Drosophila melanogaster: one gene and its partners. The protein of the gene in region 1 interacts with the protein of each later gene in a pairwise test. Each region holds a gene or a part of one and is shown in the gene's direction. Other genes may lie near its edges. The genes, in order: CG11964, GstE1, CG8617 and c12.1.

What was found.
Region 2: the proteins of CG11964 (region 1) and GstE1 interact in a two-hybrid assay, tested with the Drosophila melanogaster proteins (one large-scale study listed by BioGRID).
Region 3: the proteins of CG11964 (region 1) and CG8617 interact in a two-hybrid assay, tested with the Drosophila melanogaster proteins (one large-scale study listed by BioGRID).
Region 4: the proteins of CG11964 (region 1) and c12.1 interact in a two-hybrid assay, tested with the Drosophila melanogaster proteins (one large-scale study listed by BioGRID).

Annotation. Positions count from the first base shown.
Region 1 is NT_033777.3:8,941,266-8,947,119, reverse strand, and holds CG11964 (uncharacterized protein), read left to right. Parts: upstream 1-2,099; 5' UTR 2,100-2,134; coding exon 2,135-2,164; intron 2,165-2,221; coding exon 2,222-3,655; intron 3,656-3,719; coding exon 3,720-3,915; intron 3,916-3,976; coding exon 3,977-4,062; 3' UTR 4,063-4,166; downstream 4,167-5,854. Other genes in the region: ScsbetaA (Succinyl-coenzyme A synthetase beta subunit, ADP-forming), read right to left, coding at 4,286-4,442, 5,050-5,219, 5,288-5,712, 5,804-5,806.
Region 2 is NT_033778.4:18,395,614-18,400,502, forward strand, and holds GstE1 (glutathione S transferase E1), read left to right. Parts: upstream 1-2,779; 5' UTR 2,780-2,818; coding exon 2,819-3,493; 3' UTR 3,494-3,610; downstream 3,611-4,889. Other genes in the region: GstE10 (glutathione S transferase E10), read right to left, coding at 1,130-1,852; GstE2 (glutathione S transferase E2), read left to right, coding at 3,911-4,576.
Region 3 is NT_033778.4:14,354,329-14,359,702, reverse strand, and holds CG8617 (uncharacterized protein), read left to right. Parts: upstream 1-2,421; 5' UTR 2,422-2,504; coding exon 2,505-2,567; intron 2,568-2,752; coding exon 2,753-3,532; 3' UTR 3,533-3,934; downstream 3,935-5,374. Other genes in the region: Arc1 (Activity-regulated cytoskeleton associated protein 1), read left to right, coding at 1-267; CG8613 (uncharacterized protein), read right to left, coding at 4,435-4,898, 4,962-5,167, 5,225-5,374.
Region 4 is NC_004354.4:9,316,917-9,322,112, reverse strand, and holds c12.1 (c12.1), read left to right. Parts: upstream 1-2,889; 5' UTR 2,890-2,990; coding exon 2,991-3,121; intron 3,122-3,184; coding exon 3,185-3,833; 3' UTR 3,834-4,198; downstream 4,199-5,196. Other genes in the region: c12.2, read right to left, coding at 1-510, 575-1,146, 1,206-1,526, 1,601-2,028, 2,246-2,296, 2,429-2,621. UniProt on the Drosophila melanogaster protein: Involved in pre-mRNA splicing.

The DNA of each region.
Region 1 (5,854 bases):
ATGATTGTAACAAGATCAAAGGCAAGAATACACCGGATGCAAATTCAAAAGCGAAATGAATATAACTTGTATGTATGTTGACATAAAGGTTTTACAATCACTTTACAGAACTTATATCTAGTCACAGGGAAAGTCTTTAAGCTCGAAGAGAAATATTTCACCATTTATTCCGTTCCGTTGTCAAGTTCGTGTTGCATTTTAATGGCACACACGATGGATGGCCTAAAACTGGTTGAGAACGGTTCAAGCCAAAAAATCCAAAAACAGACGCGACGCGACTGCAATTAATTTACAATGCACAACGGCAACAACTACAGAACAACAACAACATGAGCAGACGGCGCGTGATCTATGCGATCAATGGTCAGTGGGGTTCCGAGTTGGCTATTCGAGGGGCTTTCGGTAGAGGGGGGGGGGGGCTCTACTACTTCAACCGACTGGCCAACGACAAGTGACCCCATTTTTATTGGAACCTCCAAACGTGCGGCGTTGTTGCTGCCGTTGCCGCTTGTTCTACTTTGAAATTTCACTTTTCAAATCCCAGCTCGTGTGTGAGTGTAGATGCGGCAAAACAGGCAGGCAAAAAAAAAAAATAATTAATAAGAAAAACATAAAAAACGTGCGAGCATGCGTGAGTTCAAAGTAATTTCTTTCCAAGTTCGCTGCCTAAGTCTTTTGAATGGAGTGCAGTGCAAGGCAGCATTCGATGTGCGGTACAATAATGCCTCACAAAATATTATGGGTATATTCCCCAAGTGAGACAGCCCCATCCACATCCACACAGCAACCAATGCCAGCCAGAGAGCAAGACCAAGGCAACAACATTGACGATTTAACCTCAAACTTCAAAGTGTCACTGTCATGGCCCTTTTTACTACTCCGCCGCAGTCGAGCCGCAGCAACAAAAACAGCAAACAAGCCATCCGTCGTCTTCGTGGTAGTCGCCATAACCTGTTGGCAATTCAGTTTATGACTTTTTTGCCCGGCACAGTGTGGCCAAAATCCATAAACTCATTATTTATTTTGAATTTAATCTAAGCACTTTTACAATTATAAATATAGTGAAAATAAGGTAATTTCATTTTTAAAATATTTTCTATTATTCTTCGTAATTGAGCTATAGCTTATATGATCACTTTAAAATTCCCATATATTTTCTATTTTTAAAGCTCTTTTACAGCGAAGCTTTCACTAAGGTTTTGCCCCACTGTTCGGGCTCACGTATTGCCACTAAAAGTGGGTCAGCATGAAACAAGCCAGAAAAAAGTAAAAAAGCGGCAGGAGCCACAGCAACAATACTAATACCAATACCACTACCAATGGCAACTGCACAGGCAGCAACAACAACGCCAAATCACGCTGACGAACTGACTTGAAAAAAAAAGACTGGCTCGAAGAAAGCACACACACTAGCGCACACTCACTCACACACACATACACTCATAGACGCGAACAACTTGTTGAATTGCCAGAGCTTAAAGCAGTTGTAAATTTATTTTTGGGGCTTGGCCTTTAGGAATTTATGTAAACTCGTCGTCAAAGTCGCAGGCGCTGGGCTAAAACAGCCAAAGGCCCCTTTTTGGGAGGCTGGGTGGGCGAAAGAAATGTTTAATGGGTTCAAGTTGCTAGTTTTAAATTTCATATTAAAAGTATTAATTATTTAAAGAATACAGAAATTATAAACCATATTCTAGGTTTTTAAACTTATTAAAGCTCTTTTAGGATTGTTAGCTTTGCTTTATAAAATGTTGTAAAATTGCCTAGTAATTATTATTATTATATATTTATTTAAACAAAATCTTATAATTCAAGTAACATTTGAAGAGCACAAATATCGAAAAGCAATATATAATAGCGAATTAAAATTTGAATTAATTTTTGATTTATATAAAATGTAGGTAATAACAAATTTAAATCACAAATTGAAATCAGAATTATGAATTAATTTGAAGTTAAATATGATTCAAACAAAATAATGATGTCACCTTCTAAGGGTTAAAGGGCTTGAGTCTCCGCTAAGTCATGCTTATCATGGTTCTGAACCTATCTTCATTCACGTGCGGTTCACGTTCGATAGTATCGCTGAAGAATCGCCTAACGTTCCAGCACTAATTGTTTTTTAAGGCCCGCAAAAATGGACATCGGCGAACTGCTGGCGTTTAAGGTAAATATATGGATAATACCAATGATATTCATGCACCTGGACCATTCCAAACTGTAGCCGGAACAGACGCCAAAGCGTCCGCACGACGACGAGGACGATGAATTCGATTTGGCGAGCTCGCACGGAAAACGGGGCGGTGTCGATGAGAAAACCAAACGCATGCGGCGCATCGCCGATGCCAAGGAGTCCGCACACTATGTCAAGCAAAGTGGAGGAGCCACCGGTGGCAGTGGCACTTCCGCCTTTGAATTCGATCCGGAACTGACAGAGGAGGAACGCCTGAACATCCTGAAGTACGTGGAGAACGAGGAGGCCGATGGCGATGTTCTGGATGAGCAGAGCCTGAAGAAACTGATACTGGTGTTCGAGAAGCGTAACTTGAAGAACCAGGAGATGCGCATCAAGTTTGCCGACAGTCCCGAGAAGTTCATGGACTCCGAGGTGGAGCTGCACACGGTAATCCAGGAGCTGAAGGGCGTGGCCACGGTGCCCGATCTGTATCCAATTCTCGTGGATCTGCACGGCCTGCACAGTTTGCTCGAACTGCTGGCACATCAGAACACAGACATAGCCGTGGCCGTGGTAGATCTGCTGCAAGAAGTGACCGATGTTGATATCCTGGGCGAAAGTCAAGAGGGTGCCGAATCCTTGATTGAAGCACTGAGAAAAGAGCAAATCTGTGCTCTGCTTGTCCAGAATCTGGAGCGACTGAACGAACAGGTTAAGGAGGAAGCCGATGGCGTGCATAATACGCTGGCCATAGTGGAAAATCTTACCGAAATCGATTCGGAATTCGTGAAGGAAGCCGCTGAACAGGGACTGCTCGCCTGGCTGCTGAAACGGCTGCGCGGCAAGTCGCCCTTCGATCCCAACAAACTCTACTGCAGCGAGATACTTTCCATACTTATACAAACGGAGAACGAGAACCGATTACTGCTGGGTTCTCTGGATGGCGTGGATGTGCTGCTCCAGCAGCTGGCTGTCTACAAGAGACACGATCCCGCTAGCAACGAGGAGCAGGAGTACATGCAGAACCTCTTCAATTGCCTTTGTTCCGCTCTGATGGCCCGCGAGAATCGCGATCGTTTTCTCAGCGGCGAGGGTCTGCAGCTGATGAACCTAATGCTGCGCGAGAAGAAGATGTCTAGAAATGGATCGCTCAAGGTGTTGGATCATGCCATGGCTGGCCAGGATGGCAGAGACAACTGCAACAAGTTTGTCGAAATTCTCGGCTTGCGCACCATCTTCCCACTCTTTATGAAAACCCCCAAGCGCAACAAGCAGCGCCTAATCTCCGCCGATGAGCATGAGGAGCATGTGACCTCCGTAATCGCATCAATGTTGCGAAACTGCAAGGGCACACACCGCCAGCGAATGTTGGCCAAGTTCACGGAGAATGATCACGAGAAGGTGGATCGCCTGCTGGAGCTGCACCTCAAGTATCTGGCCAAGGTGGAAGCCATAGACAAGGAGATCGATCAGCAGGCTAAGGTACGAAATGAAGTTTTATGTGTAACCATAAACTAATCAATTGAAAACCAATATCATGGCATAGGATCCCACCATTGATGAGGACGAGGAGGCGGAGAATAACTATATAAAACGACTGACCGGCGGGCTGTTCACGCTGCAGCGCATCGACTACATCCTGCTGGAGGTCAGTGCCACTGGCGACACCGTCAAGCAGCGTGTACTGCAGATCCTTAACTTGCGCGGCGCTTCCATGAAGACCATTCGCAGCATAATGAGGGGTAAACCACAAATGGAATGCCCAGTAAAACTTAGATGTTCAAATTTCAAATTCATTCACAGAATACGCTGGCAACCTGGGCGATGGCGACACCGACTGGCGGGAACAGGAGCAGAACCACATATTATCTCTAGTCGATCGTTTCTAAGGCTCAACACACAATAAACAAAACATAAATATTATGAAAATCTTTAAAAATGTGGCGGGTCAGAAGTTTACATCTGAAATTTGAGATTAAAATTTTGAACAATGAAACTTTTGTGGCAAATTTGGATTTTGAATTTAAACAATGGCTTCCTTCTTTTTGATGGTGTAAGTCTCAAACACATCCGGCTCGATCCTGCATTGTTTATTACAAAATTTGTATCCCTTTACTTTTTACCTTTCTTTTCGCAAATGTCTTTCTTTTCTTCCTTTTTCTTTTCCTCTTTTTTTGTGCAATCAGATTTCTTGTCATCTTTCTTCTCCGACTTCTTGCCACCTTTACTGTCGGGCTGTTTTTGATCTTTCTTGCAATCGCCCTTGCCCCTAAGGTGCAGTGATTAAAGTTAGTAAGACTCTATTTAAAAATGAACTAAAACGCACTGTTTTAAGCAGTCTTTGAATAACGCAAAAGCCAGGTTCGGTGTATGATTGTTTGGTGTTTTAATTTAAAGCAAACTAAATAGGATAATACACAAGATGATGGATCTGCTTTAAAAGCAGGGTCACATTTCAATAAATAAAATTTAAATGAACTTTTGCAAAAATCACAATTAAAACGTATTTTCATTTCCATTTTCTATTATTCACGTGCAATTAATGTTGTTGACTATTTAAGATACAATATAGAAATTGTTTAGGTGCAAAGAGAACACTCAACTTGCTCGATTATTCGAATTATCTATGACATATCCTTAGGACTTTAAACAGCTTTAAACTTAACATTTTTGCAAAATTAATTCATCAATTGTTCGACCGATCGTTACGAATACATAATGCTCTAACTACGAACCGATGGCATAGTTTCATTGAGTAGTTTACGTGTGGCTAGAGTAAATGTTTGGTTTTGGTTCTACTTTTTTGTCGACTTTCATTTTGTGTCTGCGTGTGCTTATGAGTGTTGACTTAGCCGGTAACTGATGGAGCTATCTACTTTTGGGCATCGGGAATCTCGAAGTTCACGTCCATCTTCATTTCGCGGGCCAGTTTGACGATTTGCGCCAAGTGCACGGCGAGATCGGCAGCCTTATCTAGATCATCGCGGGCCAGAATCTTCAGTCCAGATGTACGAATCAGTTCGCGGGCCTCCTTGACTTTGGTTCCCTGCAATGCAAACCAGTTTTGTTTAGCATATCTCAGCAAGTCAGATAAATGCATCCATGAAAACTCACCTGAAGACGCACAACCACGGGCATGTTCAGATTCAGATCCTTGGTGGCGGAGATGATACCCTCGGCAATGACATCACAACGCATAATACCACCGAAGATGTTGACCAGAATGCAAAGCACCTTCGGATCGGAAGTGATGATCTTGAAGGCGGCCTTGACCGCCTCGGCAGTGGCACCACCACCGACATCCAGGAAATTGGCCGGTTCACCGCCATACAACTTAATGATATCCATGGTGGCCATGGCCAGACCGGCGCCGTTCACCATGCAGCCGATAGTGCCATCCAGGGCAATGTAGTTCAGATTGTATTTGGCAGCCTCGACTTCCTTGGGATCCTCCTGGGTCCAATCGCGCAGCGCAAACAGCTCCTTCTGACGAAACTCGGCGTTGTCATCAAATCGCAGCTTAGCATCCAATGCGAAGACTACAGGTAATCATTGAAAGTTGTTACAAATCATTAGGTTTAAACATAGGTTAATGAATGGAAAGGGTTATTATTGGTGAAATATACTTACAGCCTGGACAGAAAACATCAAATCCAGTACAATGACAATCACAAATGAGTT
Region 2 (4,889 bases), on another chromosome or scaffold:
GTAAGTAGGGGTGGCATGCTGACTGGTTGGGCCAAAGTAAAAGTTGAAATTAAACCAATTAGTTTGCCTGCCACCACTTTCTCGTCGCCGTTGCAATGAGGCGCATAAAACGCGGCGACACAAGGTAAGTTCCTGAGATGCCCACAAAGTAGTCACGAGTTTCTAAAAACGTTAAAGCTTATGATTTTTTTTCTTTTCTTTGGGGCTTAAATAGGAAGGGAATGCTTTAAAAAAATTTGTGTTTTAAGGCCAACAAAGGTTTATAAGTAGGGAAGAAATTGAAAATAAGTAAGAAACAAATGGAAAATTCATGTACTTTTTATAGATTTCCATACATCTGCAAAATAAAAACAAAAAGTTTTGGAATTTTTGCTTCATAAGAAATATCTTCGGATTGCGTGACTCCAATTTCCGCTCACGTTAGCATCTCCTGCAGGACTTCCGTGGGGCTTGGAAACGGACTTCACCCAGCAGGTATTTAGACTTGGCTCCTTTTTTAAGAGTATTTTAAACGACGGCGCGTCCTTTTTGTGGACTTGGAGCAAGCGAAGGGCGGGGAGTTCGAGACCCGAGCGCAGATAAGAGGCAAATTTGGAAGTGGCATAAAACGGGGGCGAGTTGGGTTTGCTGCGGAGCTGGGCTGGCTAGCTGCTTGGGCGGATGGCGCCGTCATAAATTAATTATGATTTAACAACTTTAGCATGCACGACACGGCAGGAAAACTTTGCGCTTTTCATTTACCCCGCCCTCTTCTATTTTGTGTCGCTTTTGTGGAGGGTAAAATTTTATAATTTTAATGAGCGCAAAAAAGTTGTAAACTTTTGGCTGCGTTGCCATTGGAAATGCACTCCACGCTAGATAGTAATTTATATACAACATAAAAAAAATGTTCGCCATCAAGGACATTTACCGGCCAAGAGCACTTAGATGGCTACAAAGTCTTCAGTTAACTCAGAACAGTATATAGTGAGCCTATACACTGGGAAAAAAAGAAGATTATTCAAACATAATATACATTTTAAATCATTTTGCCAGCAGCGTAAGTTTTAATACATCATATTAAATACCATTTAACATACAATTTTACTTTGGGCAATGCTCTCTTTTCGATGCGACAATGGCTTCCGCATCACTGTTTTCCAGCTCCGCTCTTGATGTCCTCAAAGGCCTTTTGCCACAGCTTGTCAAACTGCTTGGGCAGCTTGGAGCGAATCTTATCGGCCAACAAGCGGGCTCCTCTCAAGTTGTCCTCCTCATAGAAGGGCAATGCGGAGATACGTGCCAACCAGGCGGATAATTTGGGGTATTTGGTCGCATCCACGGGACAGTAGCTCAGGTGCAGAGTGCTCACGGTGGCCACAATGCTAAAATCGGCGATGGTCAGCTGAGGACCGGCCACATAGGGATTCTCCGCCAGAAATTGCTCCAGCAAGGCGTAGGCATCCTTCAACTCAGCCAAACGATCCTTGGGCACCTCAGTGGCATTCTCTTTGAACAGAGCTCTCTGCAATTGCTTGAAGATGCCGTGAAAAAGGACACCGGTCTCGAAATGCAGCCGCTGATCCACCACAGCTCGCTTCAGCGGATCCTTTGGATAGAGCTCATCCGACTGGGCGTACTTGTTCACCAGATAGCCGATGATGGCGTGTGAGTCCCAAATGCATGACTCACCATCCTCCAGCATGGGTACCGTGTGCTGGGGATTCTTGCGTAACATATCCGGCTTCAGATGATCGCCGGCCTGCATGTCCAGCGTATGGAATTCATGGTCCAGCTGGAGGGCACGAAGGGTCAACAAAACGGCACGGACCGGCGGACTGGACTCAGTGCCATATAGAATCAGGTTAGCCATTGTGGTTGCTTAACTAATTGCCTTCTAGCTGGTTGAATTGAGATTCGTAGCAGACAGTGTGCCATCCACAACTGACTCAAGGCAGTCTAAATAATTTAAATTTCTTTCAAACGCGATAAGATTAGATATTAAACTTAGTTTCTTGATAATTACCACAAAGACGTCATAATGCTGCAAGTTTAAGTTTGCCTGATTGTTTATTAATGTCCGGGATAAGTCGGTCTGCTATCTATTAGCTGTGTCAATATTTGATCAATGTCCCCGTGATTTATTTGATCATAGTTGGAGCACCAAAGGGGCTACTTATATACACTGCTAGAAACGTCCAAACGAAACCTAAAGTAACCAGACTCATTAGCAGTGTTTCTATGCAAACATTTTCATATAAATATAATTATAAAATTATGAGTTTAATATTATTACTTCTGTGTATCAGATCATACAATTTTATCCAAAATAACGATAAGCTTTATGCCAGCTTAACTTAAGCTTTAAGCTTTTAGAAACTTTCAAGCTTCGTTAGGAAGACTTGAATTGTAAATTTACATGGGTTCTACATGATTCAAATAGATGTATATTACAATAAATCATAAAACAAGTAACTGTATTAAATTAATTTCTTCTGACAACCAATGTTCCTGAGTTCACAGAGACCTACTTTGTTTTTGATGAGTATATGTTTTTTGTAGTTCACCACTGCATATGGTGTTTTAAAATTAGTATCATATAGATGATTCCAGAACTATCAGTTGGGGGTAATTAATGTTTGTTATGATGAAATAGGCATACATATTATATATATGGTTTTTTTTTAACTGTTTAACACATGGTTTCGAGCTTTTATCTTAGATTTACGAAATGCTCTCTCATTTAGCAAAAAGCTTGAGGCAATAAGGTGTGTATATATGTACAGTAAATAGAGAGATCAGTCGAAAGAAAAACACTGACGGGTAAACAACACGTATCATGTCGAGCTCTGGAATTGTACTCTATGGGACAGATCTCAGTCCCTGTGTGAGGACCGTCAAACTTACCCTAAAGGTCCTGAATCTGGACTACGAGTACAAGGAGGTGAATCTTCAGGCGGGCGAGCACCTGAGCGAGGAATATGTGAAGAAGAATCCCCAACACACGGTACCGATGCTCGATGATAATGGCACTTTCATCTGGGACTCCCATGCCATTGCCGCCTACTTGGTGGACAAGTATGCCAAGTCGGATGAGCTGTATCCCAAGGATCTGGCCAAGCGTGCGATCGTCAATCAGCGTCTCTTCTTCGATGCCAGTGTAATCTATGCCAGTATAGCCAATGTCAGCCGCCCGTTTTGGATAAACGGTGTTACCGAAGTGCCCCAGGAAAAACTGGACGCCGTACACCAGGGTCTGAAGCTGCTGGAGACGTTCCTGGGCAACAGCCCCTACCTGGCCGGCGATTCGCTAACCCTAGCCGATCTGTCCACCGGACCCACTGTAAGCGCCGTGCCCGCTGCCGTGGACATAGATCCTGCTACATATCCCAAGGTCACCGCCTGGTTGGATCGCCTCAATAAGCTGCCCTACTACAAGGAGATCAACGAAGCTCCGGCCCAGAGCTACGTCGCCTTCCTGCGCAGCAAGTGGACCAAGCTGGGCGACAAGTGAAACTAAACTTATATTTAAATATGACATTTCACAAGTTTGAATTCCATCAATTAACAACATACACATCCATTTCTAAAACGTAAACTTCTTCAATAAAATATAACATATATATAAAATATTTAATTTATTTTTTTATTTAATTTATATTTATTTAAATATTTGAATTTATAATAAATACTGAAATTTATAAACTTTAATATGGGACTTGAGTCAGTAATTATTATCTCACAGTTGGGGAACCCGACCGTAATATTTTTATCGCTCATTTATGATATCGTCAGTGTACAATTACAAAAGTTTATTTAAGATACAAATGGGGCAAGCTCAGCGCACCCAATTGGGTTGTTTAGTTAAGCTCGTTTAGATTTCTGTGTGTGGCAAATTTAGTGGAACTTGGGTCTCTCTGGTGATCGCATCATGTCGGATAAATTGGTTTTGTATGGCATGGATATTAGTCCTCCTGTTCGCGCTTGCAAGCTGACCTTGCGGGCCTTAAACTTGGACTACGAATACAAGGAAATGGATCTACTGGCAGGAGATCACTTTAAGGATGCGTTCCTCAAAAAGAACCCGCAGCACACCGTACCACTCCTCGAAGATAATGGTGCCCTTATCTGGGATTCACATGCTATTGTCTGCTACCTGGTGGACAAGTATGCCAATTCGGATGAGCTATATCCCAGGGATCTGGTGTTGCGCGCCCAGGTGGATCAGCGTTTGTTCTTTGATGCCAGCATTCTGTTTATGTCGCTGCGAAATGTCAGTATACCCTATTTTCTTCGCCAAGTAAGCCTGGTACCCAAGGAGAAGGTGGACAACATTAAAGATGCATATGGCCATTTGGAGAACTTTCTAGGGGATAATCCCTATTTGACCGGGTCGCAACTGACCATAGCTGATTTATGCTGCGGAGCTACTGCATCCTCGCTGGCCGCTGTTCTTGATCTGGATGAGTTAAAGTATCCAAAGGTGGCTGCTTGGTTCGAACGACTCTCTAAGTTGCCCCACTATGAGGAAGACAATCTGCGGGGCTTGAAGAAGTATATCAATTTATTGAAACCCGTATTAAATCTGGAGCAATAGTAATTTGTATTAAAAAAAAAATACCATCAAATGCCATAAATACCATAAAAACAAATCAAATCGAATAGTACTACAACTGATTTGTAACAAAAACCTATCATTTTTAGAATCATAATAAAACTATCATTACGTACTGAATCCTAAAGAGAGAAATAATAAAAGAGAAATATATAGATGGAAAAACTTAAATGATCAGTTTTTTGCTTATAGATAGTTAATTTCCAAAAATTGCTGTTTCACTGTTTAATATAATCAACTGGCTTATCGGTTAAATTATGACAATGGTCTTTAAATCCCAAAACGATGAGTAAAC
Region 3 (5,374 bases), on another chromosome or scaffold:
GAACTGGATCTTCTGTTCGGTCTGCTGAACATCAAGTACCGCAAGCACATCTCCCGCCACAGTGTCCATACCTTCAAGGATCTCCTGGAACAGGGCCGCATCATCGAGCACAACAACCAGGAGGACGAGGAACAGCTTGCCACAGCAAAGAACACCCGTGGCTCCAAGCGCACCACCCGCTGCACCTACTGCAGTTTCCGGGGGCACACCTTCGACAACTGCCGTAAGCGCCAGAAGGATCGGCAGGAGGAGCAGCACGAGGAGTAGGCGACAAAAAGAACATCAAATACCAACAGGCAGCAGCCAACGTCATTGATGACCTCATCGCTGCTGCCGCCCACCCAAACAGAACTTTTCGTAGCCTCGCCAGCCGATCGACGTCAGAGAGAGCCCAACAACCGGAGAGCTGGAGATGGGGAGCAGCCACATCAACAGCAGCAACAGCAGCCACATCTCTTCATACTCTTCATACTCACTGGCAATCGGCGTGCCGGTAAGCCTCGACTAGCTTCTGAAATCCACAAATCCACGCTGTTTGTATTGCTATTCGCAATGCCTCGAAAACGGCTCTATTTTCATATAATTTCACGCCGACTTGCGGCTACTTTGGCACAGAACGCCAGCTTTTGGAAAGCAATAATTTTTATTGCAACATTGAACCTTTATTTGCAACTAGAAACTAGATTTCGAGAATCATCGGGCGGGGCGGCTGAGGATCTGGCATTTCGTCCGTAAGATCGGTTATTCGCAATGGAGGAATATGATATTCGAACCAAATGGCGGGTGAAGTGCCTCGGCATGGAGCTCCATTTTCTTCGAATCTTATGTTTTGACATTGCGAGTCTGAAATGGATGTTGCCTGATCTCCAGCCGCCCCGCACAACCGTTGATTCTCACAACCGCCGGCTCCACTTTGTGCCGGTCAGCGGAGAAAAAGCGATTATTTGGCTATCAAAAGATATGATCACTGTGTTGAGAGACATGGCAATCATCGCTATTGTAACCATATATTTGCTGATTTTTCGTCTGATCCTGGTCCTTTGTGAAGCTAGCAAAAAACCCCCCGCCCGGTGAATGCCCACTTAGATCCTTTTGCAGGAGGATTTCGACGGCCCTGAAGGTGGGCGCCACCCGTTTCCGGTAGCGGCTTCGGCTGCTTCCGGTTTCCGGTGTCGCAACCCTTCGCGATGTCCCCCGTGCGAGTGGAGCTACAGTGGGCGTGAGCCGGGCAAAACCTAAATTTCTTCGGAGATTTAAAAAACCAACAAATTTTTTGACTTTTGTCAAAACAATTCGAACCCACATAGCACTACGATGGCTAACGATTCGCCATCCGTGCGGTTGGCACGCCAAAACTGTCTCTTCGAGATCACGGGCCTAGGGCTGTTTAACATTCGACCCAAGCGATTTCGCGACAGGCTTCGGCACGCCAGTATATAACCCAAAACACACAAACGTCAGGGGCTGGAACGCGTCACTGCCGTGCTCCTCCAGCCGGCACAGTCATTCCCCGCCCCCACACCAAGCAAAACCGGCCGCTTGTGCAGATGACATAGGCGCGACCAGCCAACTGACCCGGCTGACCAGACTTGCACCGTGCGCCATCAACTGGAATCTTGGCCACAAGCACAGCAATAGTTTGGCCCGCTATTCCCACACAGAAACCCAGAGTGGGGGCCTATGGAAGACCACAAGTGGTTGCGTGGAACTGCTAAAAATATAAAACTGTAAAACTAAAGACTGAAACTAGAAAACAACCATTAAACTCAGAAACGGAAAACTGCGTAATTGTTTTTATTTTATGGGGTGGATGGGACAACATTTTTACAGGGAATCATTTTTTTAAACAAAAGTTGATATAATATAAGAAAAAATGCAATTAGCCAAGCTCTACAAAGCTCACGTATTTAATAAATGCTCCACCGAATGAAATGAATATTACAATATGCCATATAAAAATACAACATTAAATGATATTAAAACTGGTTTCTTTATTTCAATATAATTAAATGTCTCAGCCCTTCTAGACGTTATGTATAATAATTTCAAGTGGCTACAATCAGACTTAAAATCTAACTGGATTTACTTTCTACTAATAATATCCCAATCAGAAGTCAGATGTTGTGTGATTACATCTTGTTACATTTTTGATGATATTTAAATAAATTATGCTACATCATTAGTCATTGTGTCAAAGTAATTTTAATTTTATACAGTTGCAGTTTCGAGGTCGGACGGAACGGTCTGAAATTAACTAACAATATCTCGTGTATTTTGTGTGTGCTTTCGAAAAAAGTTTGTTTGAAAAATGTGTTAAGAAAGTGGCGCCGCCGAAATACCGATATCGCCAAGTATCCAATTATCGACGTGCCGTGGGTCCCGATTGTCTAACATAAATAAAGCCTGCTGATATCGAAGTACAACAGCCCGATAGGTGGAAGCAAATATCGATGACAGTCTTTATTTATATATTTCCTAATCAATATACCTGATATCAACAACTGATGCACAAAACACACCGTCTCACCACCGACAGCCAGTACATGGAGGTCGAAGGCTTGCTGCAGGTAAGTGGATGCACTGCGTCCGCAGATAAATGAATAGGTTTAATCCAGTGGCTGCTGCAACGCCCTTTCTTTTCGCCCCGTCGCACCACACACGACACCACTTTGCTCTTCGCTCTCCACTCGCCGCTCGCCACACTCCACCCACTCGAAAAACCTGGCCAAAAACCACGCACACACATGCACAGGCCATGGACATGCCCACCAGCCACGACCCGGAGGCGGAACTGGAACCGGAGTCCACGTCGCTGTGCCGCCTGAGCCGCTACAACGTGACCAACCTGTACGACGGGCCGGCGGGCGGGGGTTCCTCATTGAGCTCGGGCCGCCAGCGTTGCTACACAATGCCGCATGTGCCACCGCCAGCGCCGCCCTCCACGCCCACTCTGCTGACCAGCGGGTGCGGCGGCAGCAGCAACTCCGTATCCGTCTCCATCTCGCCCACCTGCTCCGCTGGAAGCCATCCCTTGGATAGCCAAAGTTTGAGCCAGAGCCCCTTGAACCACTTCATCTACGTAAAGAATGGCAAGAACCTGCGTCGCGAATCGCGCTGCGTCGACTCGGAGCTGTCAAAGTTATTCAACGTGGTGTCCATCACAAACCGGCTGACGGCTATTAAGAACCGCAGCAATTCCATTTCGAATTCCAGTGGAATACTCAATGCCTCGCGCACCATATCGAAGTTAAACGGGGCGACGGCCACCAAGATCTTTAAGATTCATCGGGATCCGAAGGAATTTCTGCGCGAAACGGACGAGGATTCCGTGTCTGCGCCGGAGTACGACGAGGAGGAGGAGGACACGCGCTTCCGTTTCTTTCGGCGTGCGCGCTTCTCGAGGAGGTACAGTACCGCACGATCCGGCCGGAAATTTGCGCGAAAGTTCGCCCGATTTGAGCATCATGAGCGCATGGAAACCATCGTGGATAGTTTCGATGCAGCAATGAGCTTCAATGATGCAGACACCTGAGAGGCGGAGGCCACGACGAGGACGACGACGACAGCAACAGTTGAGAATGAGGCATGGCAGATGGTCGGCCAACCAATGTGATGAATGTGAATTTCAACTAAATTATTTTAATTACTACAAACTACTATTATTACGATTATTATTACCGATTACCGAACTGTTCTCTCCATACGTTTAGTTTCCTTCTACGCCGATTGCCGTGGCCTTCGAGATCCCAGCACCACTCCTGCATTTGATCGGGTTTGGTGGCGGATCGCGGACGCAGCGCATGGCACGCATTTAGTTTAAAGCCTAGTTTTACGCCTACGCCTCTGGGGCGGAGCAGGTGCAGCCGACCACCGAATGGTTGATAGCTCCACGAACAGAACGATTCCAATAAATGCACAAAACGTGTTGTATTCGAGAAGAGAGATTACTCGACGTTGGTTTCATTTATGGTGTGATGTGATTAGTGATTTTTTTTACTCCAACCTTAACGATTATTTACATAACGAATACACATTGTATGTTTTCTTTATTAACGTTGTATATGGACATGTATAAGGTTATTTCGGTTATTAGTCACTGTCAGGCTCGTTTTCTCGTTCAAATGGATGGGTATGATAGGTTTTAAACTGGAGAGAACCTTGCAGTTCAAAATCTACATAAGCTATACCATGAAAATAAGAAGAGGGGCCTTTGTACAACAACTTTAACCAACTCTAGACACTTAGGGAGCAATGCAGTCTCTCAGACTTAACAGTGAAATAAGCTGGAGTCGCAAGTCTATTGGGGTCTTTAATAACGGGATCTTAACACTATGTAGTTCCGAGAACTCCTTTTTGTTTGCTTTTGAAGCAAATCAATAACAATTAACTAACATCTAGAAGTTCTTAAAATACATTTCGAGTAAATTTCCGGATCTAATCACGTTTTGAGAAGAAATACGCCATTAGGTTATCCTCTAGCTGCTGCGGATCGGTAACTGGCATTCGACAAGCTCGCTCGTGACAAATGTAAACCGTAGTTTTACCGCCCACCATCTTAAACTTTGTCTGCAAGCGCTGATTGGAGGCTTCCTCTGGATTCGAGGGATCCACATGCACTATGATCATGCTTGGAATAAAGAACTTGCGACAAATTTCCACAAATCGTTGGGTGTCTGGCGAATCCGGTCCCACCACTGCCACAAGATCCAGCCCGTTCTCGTGCATCAGCAGGGCGGACAACATCTCTGGCAGAGCGTGTCCGAAGGGCGATACGTCTGCAAAGAAATTCAGTAGTTTCCCGGCCTTCTGGAGATAGGCATTTTCGTCATAATAGTGGGCCAGTAGGACAAGATTGTGGGCGGATACACTGTTTCCACAAGGTTCGGCTCCATCGTGGTCTTAACAAAATTTCGGGAAATCAGATATTGTTGGAGAGTGTACTTAAAAGCTATCCCACTCACCTTCCTTGAGTCGCACAATAACATTGGGTGCATCCTGTTGCGAGAAGAAATACGCTCCGTTTCGCTCGTCCCAGAAAAGCTTGTCCTGGGTGTCCTGCAACGCCTTTGCCCAATGCAATACATCTACGTCGAGTGTAGCTTTGTAGTAGTCCAGCAAGCCCTTGATGAGGAACGCATAGTCATCAAGGAACCCATCGATTTGCGATCTGCAACGGGCAATTTGTAAAATATTAAAAAATTTTATAGAGTAATTTAAAACTCACGCATTCTTCTCCAGGGTTTCATCACCCACGGCCACACCATAGCACGAACGGATGAGCAGCTTCTGTTCCGGATCATACATTTCCTTGCGAAGGAAATCAAGAAGTTCCTTTGCTGTCTGCATATACTGCTCCCTGTTGGCGGAATAGCAA
Region 4 (5,196 bases), on another chromosome or scaffold:
GCACCCCTCGACAGGGCCGGCATAAATCTGGCCAGGAAAGTGTTCTGCAGCATTTCGTGCACATCGCTGAGCTCACTCTCTGGATAGGCCGCCAAACGGCGGGCCAGCTTGAGTAGTTGCCGAGTGGAGAGGGTGCCCGCCAGTCCCTGGAGCAGCGGATCCTGTGAAGATCTCAGCAGTTGGGCCAGTTTCAGCAGTTGATCCATACCAGCAGGTAAATCTCCACCACACAGCTGCGCCAGCAATTCCGCCTCTTCGCTCTGACGCAAGGGACGCAGTTCTTGGTAGAGAAACAGGCTGAGCAGCTCGGGTGTCAGCCAGCTGGGTTGTCCGCCGCCCAGACGCGGTGGCTCCGCCAAGGCCACCACGCGGAAAGACTCATGGATGGGTAGAAAACCAAGTTTACCTAGCTCTTCCTTGGAGAATCCCTGCTGTAGCAGTGCCTGGTAGCGATTTGCGCCCAGAAGAGTGGTGCCATCACACAGCTGCAGTTCCCGATCGTGGATGAGCCTGAAATGGGACATTTTTCATAGAATATATCACTTTAATGAAGCTATTTCTATTTCTAACTCACCGCTGCAGAACGCTGGCCGTGCTCTTGTGTAGCCGATGCAGTCCATTTAGAACCGCCACAGATCCCGATTTGGCAGCTCGCACCAGTGGTGAGTCCCTCCATACGGTGTCTCCTTGGGGACTTGTGATACGCTGCTGGACGATATCCCTGCTGGTCATGTCCTCGTACAGCATCATGGGCTCTGAGGTTTGCTGCAGGAGGCGGAGCAACTCCTGGGTCAGCGTCAGCTTGCCCACACCCTTCTCGCCCACGAGACACACATCCCCGACAGCATACGCTTGCAGTAGACTGGCGAGAGCTTGCCTCTGATGCGGTAGATCGACAAAGTAGGTAGAAGCCGTAGGAATCTGGCCTTCAGGCAAATTTAGCTGCAATTCGTCCAGTTTTATGTGGATCAGGGAGTTTTCCTGCGACTGTGCTTCGATTTTTTTGATGCTCGGGCTGGGCACCAGTTGAATATCCAGCTTCTTGAGTAGCTCCTCGACACGCTTCTTCTGGTCGGGCTTCAGCATGGTTTGATATGGATAAATGCGACTGATGACGTCGTGCAGACTCAGAGAGGGATTAGCCGCCTGAAGAAGCAGAAGGAAAAGTAAGTATTTTATACGGAAATGTGAAGGGGTACACCTACCAGCATCTTGACACCCAATGCTAGATTGTGGATGGGAAAGTCGGGCAGTTGGAGCACAGGATCCGCCTGCTGCAGGGTCAAGGCGAAGGTGAGCAACTGCTTCAGCTGCTCGCCGGGCACAGAAGGCGCCTCCTGCTGCAGTTCCTCGTACAGCTCGCCGTACGAATATGTGGTCACGTTGCGGGACTGGAAGCGGGAGCGCAGCGGTGGATCCAGTGGCGTGCCCTTGTACTTGTGGGTGGGCAGACCCAAGGCTACCACCCGGAATTGCTCCGATACGCGTAGCAGACCCCATTCGTCCAGCTGCTCCCGCGAGTGTTTCTAAAACAAATGAGAATGAGGATTAGCAAGCTTCAGAGGACTAGGAACGTGCACACAGGAAACAGCTAACATACCTCTAGAAGTTTATCGTAACGCTCCGGCGACATCAGGAACTTGCCGCTCTCCAGGTGCATCTCGCGATTCTCCAGCAGATTGTTTAGTATGGGCAGGACATTGCGTTCCGCGTGCTCCACTCCATCGAGGACAAGAACTCGGCCATTGAGCGCCGCTCGTACGGCTCCCTGATCGTGGAAGATGGCCGCCCTGTCGTTGATTTCACGTCGCTGCTTCAGATCGCTCTCGGTGGTGTCTCTGCTGAGGGCCACGTACTCCACCTCGCGCTGCGTCAGCTCCAGGAACTGCATGGCCAGCTGGCGGCGCAGCGGACCCGGTTGCCCCAGTAGAAACATGTCCTGACGCAGTGCATCCTTCTGCAGCATCCAGCGCAGGTGGTGCAGTGCTGATTGCGACAGCTGAAGGGTGCCATCCGATGCGTATTTCACTATCGGATTGGATGGATACAAGAACGAAAGGTTCGTGTTAAAACATAAATCATTTGGTCCTCCAAATACAGAGTTTATTAAGTCTCGAGTTCGGATAGCTTGTGCCTCATATAATTTGTCGATTTGGCCAATTATGAAATATAGCATGTAGCTTGTTTTCACATAGGAATTTTCTTGAGATTATAGTGGTCTTTTCTCGATGACCATGAGTTTTACATTCATTCCTTCGCTTTAGATCCGTGGTCTCTTTAATCCTTGATGTGTCTGCTACTCAAAGATGATATAATGACATGATATAATGATAATGATGAAATAATTCTGCGGCACCAAGATCTTTATGTTGACCTTTGCACTGTCCAGAGATCTTGGCTTCCCACTTCCCGGCATCCCCCTGCTCACCGTATTGCTGCGGCACCAGTTGCGGATCCTTGGGCTTGCGCAGCCGCACGCTCACATCGCCGATGGTCAGGCTGTCCTCCTCCGGCTGATCCTTGCCAGCAGTCGTGCTCGCCCAGCTTCGTCGTGGAATTCTTGCATTTCGGAGGCTGTGATGCAACAGGTGGCCGCTGCAGGCGCGCAAATTGGCCAGCATGGCCGTCGGTGGGGGATGGATAGCAGGGGGTTGGCTAAACTAAACTTAAAATCGCTTCAAGTTGCCGAAAAGTTTTGTTTTTCAGCGTTTTTTTGTTTGTCGGATAAAACGGCGGTGCTCCGCGCGTGTTTACCGTAACAATGCTGCCCATTGGTGCGCACAGCTGATGTTCCAGTGATGCCCAGCAATAGCCGCCCTTATCACGGTTAAAGTCCGCACTAAGCGTGTATCGAAAGGCCTATCGGTCAGTGTGACCGTGGTACGGCTCGATTATTGGTACTGTTGATACATCAAACAAAGCACGCAGTTCGGAAATTCATTTCACTTTTCATCAATTTAACAATTAAACGCATAACTAGCTAGTTGAAAATGACCACAGCAGCGCGTCCGACCTTCGATCCAGCCCGCGGAGGATCCGGTCGCGGCGAAAAGGATCTGAGTGCACTGAGCAAGCAGTACTCCAGTCGCGATTTGCCAGGCCACACGAAACTGAAATACAGGTAAGGATTAATAGTAGCCCACATAACAATTTCCTTGTCTAACGAGAACTTGTGTTTGCGCAGGGAGACTGGCCAGGGCACCAGCGATGAGAACCGCAACCGTGACTTCCGCAAGGAGCTGGAGGAGCGCGAACGTGAGGCGCGCTCCGGAACGGGAGCCACTTCGTCGTCGTCGGGCAAGGCACTGCCCTCCATTGTACGCAAGGCGATTGAGGCGAACAACGCCGGCGGTGGCAGCAGTGCCGCAAAGCGTTCCAAGCCGGACGCAGGGCAGCAGCAAGCGCAGCAGGCGGCTCAGCAGCAGGCCGCCAATATGGACGCCGATGAGCCGCTGGACAACGATAGCTCCGATTCGGACAGCGATTCCGATGACGATGATGCCGCCCTGCTGGCCGAGCTGCAGAAGATCAAGCAGGAACGTCTGCAGGAGACGGCGCGTCGCGAGTCGGAAAAGAAGCAGGAGGACGAACGCATACGCATGGAGAACATCCTGTCCGGCAATCCACTGATGAACTATGAGCCCGGCACCGCCGCCTCGGCAGCGGGACGTGCCTCTGGACTGGGCGGTGATCTAAAGATAAAGCGCCGCTGGGACGATGATGTGGTCTTTAAGAATTGCGCCAGATCTGCGCCCGATAAGAAGACGCACTTCGTCAATGACGCCCTGCGCTCCGATTTCCACAAGAAGTTCATGGACAAGTACATTAAGTAGGCAGCATCTGGGACTCGCTCTCAAGTTTCAGCCGCGCTCTTTTTTTGTAATAGTTTAAGTAAAACAATTGTCAACCCTCTTTGTCCTTTCACCCCTCCCCCCACAAGCTGTTCATTAAATTTCGTATTTTGTAAGATAACTCTGATATCCAATAATCATAAACAATCTTTCTAAGCTAAATACCGATTGGTTTCGTACGTAGCAAACTGACCATTTTGTAAGGCATTTGCTTTTTAAGTTTTTCAGTTTTCTTTTGAACAGTGAATGATAAATTTCTTTAAACGAGAAACATATTTTTTAGTATGTATAAGATCTTTCTTATGTAATTAATTTTTGGAATAATTAAATGGAATGCTAGCCAGAATAGTTCCATAGGCGATTGGTTTATTGCTTTGTATACTTTGTGTTTGGTTAAAAATCCAAATAAGAACCTACTCATACACTCATATTATTTAGCAATTCGTATTGAGGTCGACTTTATTTGACGAATAGGCACTTTGGGCCATCTTCCTTCTGCGGGCTGTGACCCAATGACTGGCGGCTGACCGCGAGTGGAAGTCCGAGTGCGAAGGGCAGGAACCTTAACCAAAGTGTGAAACCGCAAAAAACATCGGTAGCCGGTCGAGGGACAACAGCAGCAGCCACCAGAGGCGGCGGGCCAGGATGTCAAGGGGGGTCAGGGTCAGGGAAAAGGGTAAGCGCTGGAAAGAGGGGCGAGAGGGGTAGCTGCTACGTGAGCGCACGAAGAAGTGCCCAAGAAGCGCAGGAAGCCCAATCATCATGGCGATCAGGGCAAGGGCAATTGTCGCTGCTGATGAGGCACGAAGCAAAATCAATTTGCCCCAAGGAGCCGGGCCAAGCAAGCGCAGAATAACTTGGTCAATTACGCCGAGAGCTACACTGCTCGAAATGCAGGTAAAACATTAAAAATTAATTTTACAGCAGCTGCATAATATCCATCAAATTTGATTGAAAAATGCTTAGATGGGCAATGCGCAAGAATACCTGTACAAATTCTAACGCACTCTGTTTATTTCTCATTTAAAAGTTCAAAATCGAAGTGATAATTGTTTCCAGTGCAGCAGAAGCCACTGCGAATGCAAATCATCCGGTGGGTCTTGATTTCCACGCCTCTTTAATGCCCCGCACGCGGCCTGCGCCATCTGATGATCTGAACTCCGACTTTGTCAATGAGCCCACGTTCCGCCTGCGAGTTCGAATCTAAATCCCAACCTGAATCTTCATCCGACTGGATGCCTGCCACCCCCCCTTGGCGCTGGCAGGGATCAGTGAGTGGTCGCGACCCCGCTCCCAAAAGTTGACGAACGCTCAATTTTACGCTAATTCGATCTGAATCAAAATC